Arabidopsis thaliana: one gene and its partner. The protein of the gene in region 1 interacts with the protein of each later gene in a biochemical or structural test. Each region holds a gene or a part of one and is shown in the gene's direction. Other genes may lie near its edges.

Region 1 (8,544 bases):
AGAAAACCTGATCGTCACGTATCTAGCCATTTTGTGCATCATCAGATCCATTATGTAATTAATCAATAAGAGGACTGCACAGTCGGCCCTAAAAAAATGTTATGAGTTAAACATTTCAAAACATGCTTGCAAATAAACTGTGATAGCAACATTTTATTAATTAGTTCGATAAAACAAGTGAATTTGGGTTCATATATAATTATGGTTCCATTATTTCCTTTTTAATCTCATTCTAACACAAATATACAGATATGTTTACACAAAGTTAGAACACAATAAGATTTTCTGTCTTAGACAGAAAGCTTGATAACAAATTATAAGAAACTAAAGACATTCATGTTATAAGAGTCTTGTGAGTTCTAGACAAAAAGGTTCAAGGTTTACAAAATAAAAAGTAGAACCTTTGAGAAAGACAGTAATTTCTCACGTTTTTTCGGAAAGTTCAGTCATCACTATCAACACACACATGAGTATACATGATATCTTTACAAAATAATTAGTTTCTTTATCTTGAACTTTGATGTAAATTGCAAATGATTCGAGATAAAATGAATTCTTGCCTAATTATCTTCGTGAGTTTAGAGAAATTTGTGATCAATTGAGCTCCATAGGTCCTACAGGCCCGACTTAACACATGTGTTAGGAGTGCTAGACGATATGGTCCAAAAAAAAATCTTTATTTAATTCATACAAAAAGTTCTACTTTTTTGAAAAACAAATAGCTACTAATTATGATTATATGTTTCTCATTTTTACATCCCTCGTTGTATAGCAGAAGCACAACATGCTGATTATTCTGGTACAAGTTAATAAAGCAAAGTTGTGTTGAAAAAAAAAAAAAAAACTACTTATATTTAAAAAATTAAAAATATTCTTAGTTATCTAAAAAAACAGAACCACTAATCAAGAAATATACCTTAAAATTCTAAATTTGGTTTAAAAAATAAATATGGAAATATCCAAGTTTCTTAAAAGTAACATTTCTATAATTAGAAACCACACTTCTTTAATAATAATCATAGGCCAATATTTTTTTTCCAATAACCCTTAATTTTTTTGGGTCCGCTCTAGCACCGGGTCTTGCCAATATTTGAGCCGAACCTCTTTCCAGAACACAACTTCTACTCGTAATTTTCATTATTCTTTCCATTGTGAAGATACAAATTTGTTGTGTTGGAAGATGTCAATGTGAACGGATATAATGGTAGGTTAATGAGAATGTTTTTTTATGGTAGTGTTCTAGAATCAGTAGAGAAGTCATATGAAGTAGATGATGATATACATGGTGAGATGAAGGGAAAACAGTTACCTTTTGGAATAGGGTTGAACCTCTCCAAAAAGTGAAGTTGATCACTGATAATACAAGGAAATGATAAAGAGGTGACATTCGAGTGATCAATGAACCTGTTTCCTCCTAAATGTTGTTAGTAACATGTTTGATTGTATGTTGTTAGAATGGTTTATCAGAGTGCATTCGCACAACTATCCAATCTCTCGAGATCTTCTCTATTCGTTTTGATATTTTGAACTTTTTGAAAACCTCTCAATCTATTGATAAGACAACTTTTTTATGAAAAAATCAAGTTTGAGAACTAGGTTTTGTGTTTATTGATCTAGTTTACTTAGTCATATTCACTAAGTCGTCAATATGGTATGCTTTCAACAATAACATAGTAATTTGAATGCCTCGTACATTTTAGGCGATTTTCTATTACAATGTTTTGGTAGAGAATACGTATTTGTATATTTATGATGTATACGTGCATATACATTAATTGTTTTGTCGGTTTATTATGATCAAACAATAGTTTGTCTGTCAGAAGATTCAAGAAATATCTTTGAATCTGAGAGTTTCCAAAAAACGTTATGATGAAAATTTGGCATATACGTATTTCTGACAAGCTGATAATATTGTCATCTTGCATTTCAAGCAGTTTCGACAAAATTTTATCCAACTGTTATATTCAAACTAATTGAAAATCGAAAAACCACCATTAAAAATTAGTTAAAAATAACATATCATTTTGAAAATGCAATATTTAAAAATTTAACATATCAATTTAACATGCTTGTTTTCTTAATAAGTTTTGATATATTATAAAATGAACCGCGTGATTACAATTTTTCTTTTTGTGATGGAACTGTCGTTAGTTAAACACTTAAACTTAAACTTTCATGTAAGTTTTGTTTATTCATATTTGACTCAATTGAAACCCAATAATCAAGAATGTCAAATATTATATGTTTTGTCGGATTTGTAACGTGATTCTCGCTCATTTAATAATGTGATAATATCATAAAATTTAATCTATGTAGTTGTTTAATATGATATTAAACTTTATTAATGTAATAAGATCGATAATACTAAGTTACTAACCCAAATCATACACTTACGAGTTACGACACTACCGCACTATCTTGGTTATATTAAATACTCCTTTTGTTTCTAATAGTTTGATGTTTATATCAACATTATTATTTACTTTCATTTGTTACCGATAGAAAGAGGAGAAAATTGTTGACAAAAACAAAGAAAAAAGTAAAATTAATATTATTAAATTAATAAAAATAACAAACTGTAAAAGCTATTTTTAAAAATTTTTCTTGTAAAACATCTAAAAATTATTCTTGTAGAAACAGAGGAATATCATTGAAGATAATAGTGTGAAATTATATATATATATAGAAATATATAAAGTAGGATTTTTTTCTGTATACAAATATACGTTTCCAATTTTATCAAAAACTGTAAAGATTTTTTTCTTTGTCAGTACCTGCTAAACTTGTTAATTTTTTTATTAAAAAAAAATCAAATTACAATTCTTCTATAATCATTTTAAATTCCATTTCTTTATACCACAAAAGATTATATTGCCTTTATCGTCTTTGGTATGTATGCGTGAATATATTTATTTATTTTCTTTTCTTTCATTTTCTTTTTAAAGAACTTTATAAATGAAATAAGGAACAAACAATATACACATGTACTAACGTATATAAATAATATCATCAATATCTATCCAAAACTTGGATTTCATGGTTGACGTGGCCCAACCAAAATCTCAAGTTCTCTGCGGATGACGAACCATCTCACCATCTCTTTTTTTCTCTCTCTTTTTTTTTTTTAATATCATCAGCACGGTTACATAAAATTCGTGATCCATGAAGTTGGCTTTCTTGTCGTTTTACTTCATCACCCCATTTTTTTAAAGTCTCCATCTTTATACTTCTTCAACTCTCCACCACCACCATTGTCACCACCACATTTAAACACACACTTTCACTTGTAGTGGGATTCGAAAGTGCGTTTTATTCATTTGTTTTACTGTTTTTGATAACCTCAAAATTTGCCTAAATTTTATTCTCTATAAATCCTTATATGTTTTACTTACATTCCTAAAGTTTTCAACTTTCTTGAGCTTCAAAAAGTACCTCCAATGGCTTCTTCTGCATTTGCTTTTCCTTCTTACATAATAACCAAAGGAGGACTTTCAACTGATTCTTGTAAATCAACTTCTTTGTCTTCTTCTAGATCTTTGGTTACAGATCTTCCATCACCATGTCTGAAACCCAACAACAATTCCCATGTAAGTTCACTTCTCTCTTCTCTGCTTCATCATGGAACTTGATTTAAGAACTATGAGATTTTGTAGCTTGCCCATTTGCTGAAATCTTGAATTAAATAATGGGTTTACTTTGTTTTTGACAAAAGTCAAACAAATTTGACTCCTTTTCTTAGTTACTTTATTGGAAATCTGTGGAAAATATAGTGAAATTAGACCAATAATATTGCTTCTTTGGTTCTGATTTCTGGGAACTGATTAGAGAAAATGACAGCTTTTGCGATTTGGGTTTTGTGTTGTGGTACAGTCAAACAGAAGAGCAAAAGTGTGTGCTTCACTTGCAGAGAAGGGTGAATATTATTCAAACAGACCACCAACTCCATTACTTGACACTATTAACTACCCAATCCACATGAAAAATCTTTCTGTCAAGGTAAAGATTCTAGCTTTGATGCATTTGTTTTAGCTTTCTTACAAATTGATGGATTGGTGGCATTTGGTAACAACTTATTGCAGGAACTGAAACAACTTTCTGATGAGCTGAGATCAGACGTGATCTTTAATGTGTCGAAAACCGGTGGACATTTGGGGTCAAGTCTTGGTGTTGTGGAGCTTACTGTGGCTCTTCATTACATTTTCAATACTCCACAAGACAAGATTCTTTGGGATGTTGGTCATCAGTCTTATCCTCATAAGATTCTTACTGGGAGAAGAGGAAAGATGCCTACAATGAGGCAAACCAATGGTCTCTCTGGTTTCACCAAACGAGGAGAGAGTGAACATGATTGCTTTGGTACTGGACACAGCTCAACCACAATATCTGCTGGTTTAGGTAATACAATCAATCATTCCTTTGGTGTGTTTGCCTTGTGTTGTTGTGTTTAGACAGTAAACTGTAATAAGAAAACAGAACTGAATCAGATATATGAGTTTTACAGGAATGGCGGTAGGAAGGGATTTGAAGGGGAAGAACAACAATGTGGTTGCTGTGATTGGTGATGGTGCGATGACGGCAGGACAGGCTTATGAAGCCATGAACAACGCCGGATATCTAGACTCTGATATGATTGTGATTCTTAATGACAACAAGCAAGTCTCATTACCTACAGCTACTTTGGATGGACCAAGTCCACCTGTTGGTGCATTGAGCAGTGCTCTTAGTCGGTTACAGTCTAACCCGGCTCTCAGAGAGTTGAGAGAAGTCGCAAAGGCAAGTTTATTGCATTTCTTTTCTAGAATGGTAAAGAATACTGGTCTTTATGGACTTGATGAGAATTTTGGCTTTTCTTGCGTATAGGGTATGACAAAGCAAATAGGCGGACCAATGCATCAGTTGGCGGCTAAGGTAGATGAGTATGCTCGAGGAATGATAAGCGGGACTGGATCGTCACTGTTTGAAGAACTCGGTCTTTACTATATTGGTCCAGTTGATGGGCACAACATAGATGATTTGGTAGCCATTCTTAAAGAAGTTAAGAGTACCAGAACCACAGGACCTGTACTTATTCATGTGGTGACGGAGAAAGGTCGTGGTTATCCTTACGCGGAGAGAGCTGATGACAAATACCATGGTAAAACAAGTTAGATAGATAACGTTTTCTCTAGTTCCTAAGCAGTGGGATATATATATTGATTATTTTTCTTTCAGGTGTTGTGAAATTTGATCCAGCAACGGGTAGACAGTTCAAAACTACTAATAAGACTCAATCTTACACAACTTACTTTGCGGAGGCATTAGTCGCAGAAGCAGAGGTAGACAAAGATGTGGTTGCGATTCATGCAGCCATGGGAGGTGGAACCGGGTTAAATCTCTTTCAACGTCGCTTCCCAACAAGATGTTTCGATGTAGGAATAGCGGAACAACACGCAGTTACTTTTGCTGCGGGTTTAGCCTGTGAAGGCCTTAAACCCTTCTGTGCAATCTATTCGTCTTTCATGCAGCGTGCTTATGACCAGGCAAGTTCAACATCTTAATCATTTTACTTTGTAATAAAACATTTTAAGAAACTAATAGAGTATATGGTGGCCTTCTCTGTAGGTTGTCCATGATGTTGATTTGCAAAAATTACCGGTGAGATTTGCAATGGATAGAGCTGGACTCGTTGGAGCTGATGGTCCGACACATTGTGGAGCTTTCGATGTGACATTTATGGCTTGTCTTCCTAACATGATAGTGATGGCTCCATCAGATGAAGCAGATCTCTTTAACATGGTTGCAACTGCTGTTGCGATTGATGATCGTCCTTCTTGTTTCCGTTACCCTAGAGGTAACGGTATTGGAGTTGCATTACCTCCCGGAAACAAAGGTGTTCCAATTGAGGTATAACTTTGGTCCTCTCAAATATGTCTCTCTTCCTTCATCATTTTGAGATAGAAAATCTCTTTGGGTGTATTTCAGATTGGGAAAGGTAGAATTTTAAAGGAAGGAGAGAGAGTTGCGTTGTTGGGTTATGGCTCAGCAGTTCAGAGCTGTTTAGGAGCGGCTGTAATGCTCGAAGAACGCGGATTAAACGTAACTGTAGCGGATGCACGGTTTTGCAAGCCATTGGACCGTGCTCTCATTCGCAGCTTAGCTAAGTCGCACGAGGTTCTGATCACGGTTGAAGAAGGTTCCATTGGAGGTTTTGGCTCGCACGTTGTTCAGTTTCTTGCTCTCGATGGTCTTCTTGATGGCAAACTCAAGGTTACTTATTACTTCCAGAAACTCTCTAATATTTTTCTGTCTTTTCAAAAAATACTGTTTCTAATTTGCAACTGTTTGAATATACAGTGGAGACCAATGGTACTGCCTGATCGATACATTGATCACGGTGCACCAGCTGATCAACTAGCTGAAGCTGGACTCATGCCATCTCACATCGCAGCAACCGCACTTAACTTAATCGGTGCACCAAGGGAAGCTCTGTTTTGAGAGTAAGAATCTGTTGGCTAAAACATATGTATACAAACACTCTAAATGCAACCCAAGGTTTCTTCTAAGTACTGATCAGAATTCCCGCCGAGAAGTCCTTTGGCAACAGCTATATATATTTACTAAGATTGTGAAGAGAAAGGCAAAGGCAAAGGTTGTGCAAAGATTAGTATTATGATAAAACTGGTATTTGTTTTGTAATTTTGTTTAGGATTGTGATGGAGATCGTGTTGTACAATAATCTAACATCTTGTAAAAATCAATTACATCTCTTTGTGTATCTTTCATAGCTTTGTGTGACATATTTTGGTACGAGCAGTGTTTTTAAACCTGGACCTATATATATGGCCTCATTGACTGACGATCGAACGTACCAATGCAGTGACCCGAACCACTTTCCGGTTTACATTCCAATCCGGTTTTACAAGATTGGATACAAGTATTTTTTTTTTCAAAATATCCCCAAAGAGCCTAAAGGCATTGAAAGACTCTATCTACAGAAGAGAGTTCTCTTGTTAAGAAAATATTAGACAATAATAGAGTATCTTCATTATGTTCTTATAATCTTATCTAATAATTACTCTCACTAAATAAGATGATTATGATTATAGTTTGCTTTCATAAAGATGAATGTATTCAGTTTTACTTATTAAGTATACTTTACTTGGGAATTTATCTATACCTAATAAATATAAAATAGTGTAATCATAATTAAATTGAATAAAAAAATGAAAAGAAAAGATATAGTATCTTAATTATGTTTATATCTAATATACTTCCTCTTTCACTAAAAAGATGATTTTAGGATTTATTTTTTTTGGTTCATAAAGATGAATGTAATCAATTTTATATATAAATTTATCTTCACCAATTAAATATACTATAATGTAAATCTTAAATAAATTGATCAATTTAATCTATAGATTAAAGTTAGAATGGATGAGAAAATTAGTTTATTAAAAATATGTGAATAGTTTAAAACACACAACTAAAAAACAAAGTGAACACATAATAATTTTGCAAACTACAAAATGGGGAGAAATGTGAAGATATTAGTTCATGCAATCCTTTTTTTTTTTTTTTTTTTCTTTCTAGAATCTCTCCACCTCCAAAGAAATGATTTGAATTTAAAATGATATGAAACTTAATGCTAAAAACCTGTAAAACGATCACCATTTAACAAACTACACTTTACGAAATAGTACATCTGTTGGCATTTTCATCATTCAACATCATAATTTTCGCCATTTCAGTTTCTTCTTGTTTCTTCCGAATTAATTCATCTTTCTCTTCATTTTTCCCATCATGAATCTCCAATTCTTTAATAACTTTCATGATTTTTTTCAACAACTTCTCCTTATTAAAACTTCCAGAGACCTTAATCTTTTGGTTCTCTTTATCCGGCACACATAATGTAACTCCTAATAATCATACAAAACAAATTACAACATGCATGCACATATATATATATATATATATATATCCCTTCATATTACTATCAATTATATACATTTAAACTATGATTATAGATATTATTCTACCTTTGAATTTGGATATAGTATGAGTCATAGCTCTCTCGCATATGCTACACTCCGGCATCTTGAATTCGACATGCGAAAAACTAGATCACATATAGAAGAAAAGCTAGTGAGTTACTAAGAGAATTTCATTAACATGTGTAAAAATATATATTACACTTACTCCTTAGGAGTATCTGGTTGGTTAAGCGAAATGGAACAACCCATCTTTTAAAATTTGAGCTATCAAAGAAATAAAATAAGATGGACCAATTTATGAACAGCCTATAACACTTTATATACTCATACATTCAAACAAATTACTCATACATAGAAAACTTATAATATATTTTTAACATATACACAAGACAGACAATATTTTTTTGAAACAGTGAAAAAAAGAAATACATAATAGATTATACAATTATTGATTTATACCATATATGATTTGTATAGGTTTATATTTTATAAGCCTTGTATACACATTTTGTTGTGCATAAGGAAACTTATCTTATTAATATTCAATAACATCTGATTTTGTAATTATTTTATA
Region 2 (6,748 bases), 870 kb from region 1:
AATGGTGAGTCCACACACAACACCAGGTACGTAGCCTATTGCAGCTGCGATCCAGCTCAATACTTGATCTTTTTCTTCATCTTGCTCTTGCTTTGTTGCTTCTTTTTCTTCTTCTTCTTCTCCCCCGCAAGTTTCTTGGAGAGGAACACCGCAGAGCCCGAGATTCTCTGCGAATGAAGAACTATTCTGGCTTTGAATCTGAGTGCCTTGTGGAATTGGACCTTCAAGCATGTTGTAGGAGAAGTTCATTTGTGCTAGAAACGTGAGTTTCCCGAGCTCTGGTGGGATTTCACCGGATAATCTGTTTTTAGAAAGATCCAATGATTCGAGATCAGTCAAATTCAACCGTTGTTTGACATATTGAGCACAATCAGTTCTTTAAGTAAACCGATTGACTCGGGAATACGTCCTTCGAATCTGTTTCCGGAGACATCGATGGTTTTGTAAATCGTGAAAACACTCCCAACCAACTCTATTATCGATCCTTTGACCGTCATAGTCACTGAGTTATAATAGTTTCCTGAGTCACGTCCAGCATACCTACTCGGCATAATATCTACGATGTCTACGGCTGATGACATTGCACTCCAACCCGCAAAGAAATCTGATCGAAGGACTCCATTGAAGCGGTTTTCCGAAATGTCAAAGATTCGCAGCTTGGGGAAGCTCAAAGAATCTCCAAGAGAAGATATTGGACCATGAAACTCGTTAGAACGAAGGACAAAAATCTGAAGTTTGGGCAACATTCTCAACCAGAATGGAAACTTGTCATTGATTATGTTGTCTTCCACGTTCAGAAACTCGAGACGAGTGCAGTTGATCAAAGACTTGGGAAGTTCTCCTGATAACCGGTTGCGACCAACGTCAAGTGATCTCAAGTGATCACTGATAGATTCCTCTGGAAACTCACCGGATAAGTTGTTATTCCGAAGATGCAAAACCGAAAGAGTAGTATTAAACTTCTCGAAACACCGAGGAATGGAGCCGTTGAAGTTGTTGTTGGATAAAACAAGTGTATCAAGAGAAACCAATTTGCATATAGTCTTAGGAATCTCTCCCGAAAACCGATTATCAGAGCCTAAAAAGATCGTTGTCGAGTTTGGTAACAAAGGAAACGGATCTTGGAATGTGTTTGAACTTATGTCAAGCATAAGTAATTCTCCACATCTTTGAATAACATCTGCTGGTCCTTCAAAGCCACTGAAAGAATTTTGAGAAATGTTAACATACTGCAACTCCGGTAGACTCCACAACCATTGTGGTACTTGGCCTCCAATTTTATTGGCAGAGATGTCTAAATAATACAAAGTGGTTTGGTTTTCTAGAAAATTGGGGAACTCAGGAATATTGCAAGATGATAAAATCAAGGTGCCCATGGGTGAGGGAAGACTTAGAGTTGAACTGATCTTCAAATTAATCCCGGAAAGATCCAAATAACCAAGTGACAAGAGAGGTGAGAATATACTTATGTCAACCATGCTTCTTGTATTAATATAAGAGAGGTCAAGGAACGTAAGTGACTTGAGATGCAAGAAAGTGTTGAAATCGACCATGCCTCTCTTTGTGTTCCATAAAGAGAGGTCAAGATAAAAGAGACCAACTAGTTTCGATATAGACTCCGGGATTGGCCCATTGAAATTGTTTTCTAGAAGGGACAAAACTCCAAGATTAGATGGTGAAGAGATATTACCAAAGTCAAGAGGACCGTTGAAGTCGTTTCTTCCCAAAACAAGAGAGGTCAATGAAGGTAGCATGAAGAGAGACGATGGGATAGATCCGGAAAATGAATTTCTATCAATCCCAAAATACACCAATTTAGAGAGGCTACTCATATTAGATGGGAGCATACCTCCGAACTGGTTAGAACCAAGGTCGATCAACGTAAGCTCGCTCAAATTGAGTAGCATACTAGGAAAGTTCCCACTGAGCTTGGCCGATCCAAGATGCAACTCTGTTAGCTTGTTTAAATGTCCCATCGAATCCGGTAGCTCCCCGGTGAAATCATTAACAGAAAGATCAAGATTAGTGAGATAAGTAAGATTTCCAAGTGAAGAAGGAATCTTTCCAAAGAGATTACAATCACCAAGACTCAAAACCCTCAAATATTTGAGGCTGCCTATGGAATCCGGTAGAATACCCGAAAAATTATTCGAGCCAAGATCCAGATTATGAAGATGTTGTAGTCTAAACAAGCTACTATCATATCTCAAAGGACCATTAAGAAAACTGTTCATGAGGTCTAACTCTACCACCTTACCCGTTTTAGGATCACAAGAGATACCATCCCAAGAACAGCAATCGGTGTTGTTCCTCCACTTCTCTGTCTTCTTAACACCAACAATCCCATTGGAGTTGAACTCATGGACATAAAACTCGTTCTTAAACTCCAAAAGAGCATTCTTCTGGTCTTGACGACATAAGTGCTTAACATGAGAAGCCAAAACCAGTTTTGAATTAGAAAGGGACAAGATTAAACACAAGCTCCATATTGTCATCTTCATCTGACCTCAACAATGCAATAAACTTTTTTTCTTTGATTTTTTTTTTCTCAGAAAGTGAAATGAATGATGTTCAATGTTTATAAGTGATGGCTCTAGTAATAGACCCAAAGACTGTCTTACATTTTGTGGAAAAAAGAAAAAGCTTGACTTAACAAGTCTCTTGTAAAAAAAATGGCGTCATCTTCCACAAAGATATATGAATTTCCAAATGAACGCTCCACAAAGTCAATTATGTCTCCTCTTGCATAAAAGTATTAACCCTAAAAATAATTCAATTACTTGCGGTGTGGGGTTACCGCAGTACAAAAAGTAGAGCGTGTGGGGTTACCTCAGCTGTGTGGTGAGTGCTACGCAATTGCGCAAACGCTCTTTAACGGGGCACGCTCGTGACTCGTGAGAGAGTCAGTCACACACCGTAAAAGTTACCGATAAACTCTCAAAAAGTCTTTTTTGGCTTTGCCAAATTTCTAAAATTCAATCAACATTTTCTTTCTTCTTTTCGTTTACATTTTTGTATTAAAAAAAAAACTCTAATGGGCTCGTGGAGGTAGCTGAAGCCCAAAATATGGGATAAGGGCTATAAGGATTGTCGATCATATCTTCTTGCGCCGTCAAAAAGCTTCCAGTCGCAAACGATGACAACTTTCCATTAAACTAAAATGACATAAATACCCTTCAAAATCCACATATTACTCTCAACTGTTTCATCTACCTCCCTCCCTCTCTCCCCATTCCCAAACTACACATTACACATTACCAATTCTCATATTAAAATCCACAAAACTCAAATCCCCAAAATAAACAAACCCTAAAATTCAAAACAATGAAATGTTACAAAAGCTCATCAATTCTCTCAACCAATCACCACCCATTCTTCTACAAACAACAACCAATCTCCTCTCTTCAACCAACTTCAATCCCAACAACTATCTCTTACCCAACCCGAACCCGATTCTCCTCCACCCGGATCCAATCTCGATTAACCCACGACGATCCAGTAAAACAATCGGAAGACTTATCCTTCTACGATCTTCTCGGCGTCACCGAATCAGTCACACTCCCAGAAATCAAACAAGCTTATAAACAACTAGCTCGAAAATATCACCCCGATGTTTCTCCTCCGGATCGTGTCGAAGAATACACAGATCGGTTTATTCGTGTTCAAGAAGCTTACGAAACTCTCTCCGATCCTCGCCGGAGAGTTTTATATGACCGTGATTTGTCTATGGGGTTTTCTTTTTCTTTCTCCGGTCGACGCCAGAACCGTTACGATCAGGTAATTAATTATTAAATTTAATTTTTTTGCGATAACCGAAGTTTTTGTTAGGAGAGAAAAAATCAGCACCATTTGTTTGGGTTTATTATGGTTAAGAAAATTTAAGAGTTAGCAATAATTTTAGTGTATGTGTTATTGATAAATTTATCAAGTGATGTTGATGTTATTGATTTGGATATTTTTGGTTCATATGTGGACAAATAGTGTGTAGTATTATCCTCAAAAATTCTATTTTTATTCTTTTTATTTTTCGAATTTCTAGATTTACTCGGTAGATTCAAGAACCTTTATGGTGTCGACAGAATTGACCTTATCTTTAACATGGTCCAATAAATTGACCCATGTGTCGATTATTAGGTGACAAATTAGCAGTGGAATAGAGAATAATGAACTCATTGATCCTATTTGCTACAATCATGGGTCTTCTTATAATTGATTTGGGTTTTGGTGATTGTTGTGATTGTAGGAAGTGGTGGAAGAGAAGAGTGAGTGGAAAGCAAAATGGCAAACTCAGCTCTCAGGGTTAAGGAGAAGAAGCAATCAGAAAGATAATAACACGATGTCTTGGGCTGCAAGAATGCGTCGTCAACAACAAGAATCTTCTTAACATACGACATCGAGTCTTTAGCCTTGTTATGTATAGTCTTTTAATTGTTTGTGTGTAATATAGAAAGCATAGCATCAATACCCCAGCAACTTTGTATATATGTAATGTATATACTCTTCTATGTGCTTATGCCAATCGGCGGAAGCACATTACTTTAGATAAATACCCTGATTACTAAATAAGCTTTCTTTGGTTGTGCGTTTTATGTTTTGTGTTTTACGTTTTGAGTGGAGAACGGGATTCTAGGTGTGGCAGCAACGTTTGTAATGGTTATTGAGTGATAATTCTGTTTAAATACGGCGGTTAAAAGCTTTTTTAAGTGGCTCTGGAGAAAGTGGTTAAAAGCGGCAGGAGATGGCAGTATAGCGGTTCAAAATTATATACGATTGGTAATATTTGTAGGCAATGTGGTGACTGATGATAATAGGTATACAGTAATGAATATGAGCAAAAACTATTGAACAAAATGAAAATATGAATCACCTTAAACTAGAGGTAATTGTTGATAAACTTTTTAAGGGTTTCAATGGTGATCTTATTATATTTTAGGAAATATTTTAAAATATATGAAAATAACAAAAATCTAATCATATTAAAATAAACGGTTGTAAATGCTCTATTTTTATAACCGTCATGTTTCTTTTATTCACCACCACTTATTTTATCCGTCCGTTACAACTAATTATTTCATCCGTCCATCAGACTCTTAACCAACGAGGTAGCCTTAATATATGTAACTAATCAACTTTTAAAGATGATTGCTTCCAACAAATTGCTTAAGGATTTGACTTGTGACCTTGTTTAATCAATAAAGATTTTCTAGATTTTGTGGAGAAGAGTATAAGAATAATGTGAAAAATTATGGTTAAAAATAGTGTTATGATTAAAATAGTGTTATAAACCAAACATTGAGTATAATATTTTACCATAAATAAAATTAACATAACCAAACCAAACTACACAAAACAGATAAACATTGTAAGCCAAAATTTTGAAATATATGAAAATTACATAACTCCAACCGTTTTAAAGTAAACGGTTACAAGCACTCTTTTCCATACGTTTCATAACCGTCTTGTGTCATCTACTCACATGTTCGCCACTCCAACTATCTATTTCATCCGTCCATCGGACTCATAACCAACAAGGTAGCTGAACATTCAATAACCTTAATTTATGTAACCAATCAAATTCTAAAAGTGATTGCTTTCAACCACACTTCTTCTAATCACTTTCTCCAACCACACTTCTTCATGGTACCTCCCTAAATGGTTTTACTCAAACTGACACCAATCAAACCACCATGACAGATACGAAAACAAATACTTATATCAGTTATTTAATTTTACAACAACGTTACAAATTACAATCCAACAAAAACATAAACATACATAAAACCAACGGAAACTTTACTTTTTTTTTTTTTTTTTGCGAAACTTTACTTGTTTTAAAACGATAACATAACACTTCATCACTTCACGTTTACACTTATTATTTGCCGTTTGATTTCTCATGGCGCGATCAAACCAAACTTCTTAAATTCCAATTTTACCCTCTCCATCTCTTCCTCCGGCAACGTAACCGTCACAACCCTCTCCTCCGATTTCGCCGCCGCGTAAACAACCACCAATCCCTCCTCCCCTATCCCCTCCACATTACAATAAACCGACTCCGGCGACTTCCCCATCACTTTCGCCTCATACAAATCCTCACCAGTCAGATCCAGAAACGTCAATTTCGCTCCATAAACAACAAAATCCAAATTCCCATCGCAACTCTCTCCGATCTCCTCAATTCCACATCTCTCATCCTTCGCTTCCCCCATAGCTTTCACTAATTCCTCCACCGTCGCTTCCGCCACCGGAAAATCCACGCTCACTGAGCTGATCACCTGACTGTTTCGAATCGCATTAAGTTTCAGATCGTTCGGATCTTTTTTAATGATCGTAACCGTTACAGGCTTTGGCTCTACCCTAACTTTAGCTATGCATTTCCATATGATTCCGGCGAGAATCTCGAACACCGGAATCGAGTCATCTCCCTTCGCCGGAAAATGTGGTGATATCTGATCGGCGACTGAGAGATTGAAACAGTAATTCGCCAATTTCTTGTCGTTTGGAGTGACCCAGAGATCTCCAACGGGTTCGACCCGTTTAATTGAAACCGGATCTTTAACCGTCGGGTTTGGGCTTTGGAACCTTCTCTCTCCTATAGAGGGTGTTGTTGGGGCATAAATCTTTTCTCCGGTAATGGCCTTAGCCCATAAGTTGAAGGCATAGAACAGAGAGAATGCGTCTCCTATTATATTGGCCCAGCTTAGGCCCAACCCTAATCCTCCGCATTTAAACCGGGTCATCTGCGGAA

The links.
Region 2: the proteins of CLA1 (region 1) and J20 form a complex in vitro, tested with the Arabidopsis thaliana proteins (one study listed by BioGRID).

Annotation. Positions count from the first base shown.
Region 1 is NC_003075.7:8,880,781-8,889,324, forward strand, and holds CLA1 (Deoxyxylulose-5-phosphate synthase), read left to right. Parts: upstream 1-3,044; 5' UTR 3,045-3,437; coding exon 3,438-3,587; intron 3,588-3,870; coding exon 3,871-3,996; intron 3,997-4,079; coding exon 4,080-4,395; intron 4,396-4,501; coding exon 4,502-4,773; intron 4,774-4,860; coding exon 4,861-5,134; intron 5,135-5,211; coding exon 5,212-5,519; intron 5,520-5,601; coding exon 5,602-5,883; intron 5,884-5,961; coding exon 5,962-6,246; intron 6,247-6,333; coding exon 6,334-6,474; 3' UTR 6,475-6,887; downstream 6,888-8,544. Other genes in the region: AT4G15562 (superoxide dismutase 1 copper chaperone-like protein), read right to left, coding at 7,666-7,895, 8,016-8,095, 8,176-8,219.
Region 2 is NC_003075.7:8,008,194-8,014,941, forward strand, and holds J20 (DNAJ-like 20), read left to right. Parts: upstream 1-2,773; 5' UTR 2,774-3,324; coding exon 3,325-3,777; coding exon of another isoform or gene 3,778-3,792; exon of another isoform or gene 3,793-4,039; coding exon of another isoform or gene 4,040-4,138; exon of another isoform or gene 4,139-4,243; coding exon 4,244-4,384; 3' UTR 4,385-4,687; downstream 4,688-6,748. Other genes in the region: AT4G13820 (Leucine-rich repeat (LRR) family protein), read right to left, coding at 342-2,501; AT4G13840 (HXXXD-type acyl-transferase family protein), read right to left, coding at 5,895-6,740. UniProt on the Arabidopsis thaliana protein: Plays a continuous role in plant development probably in the structural organization of compartments.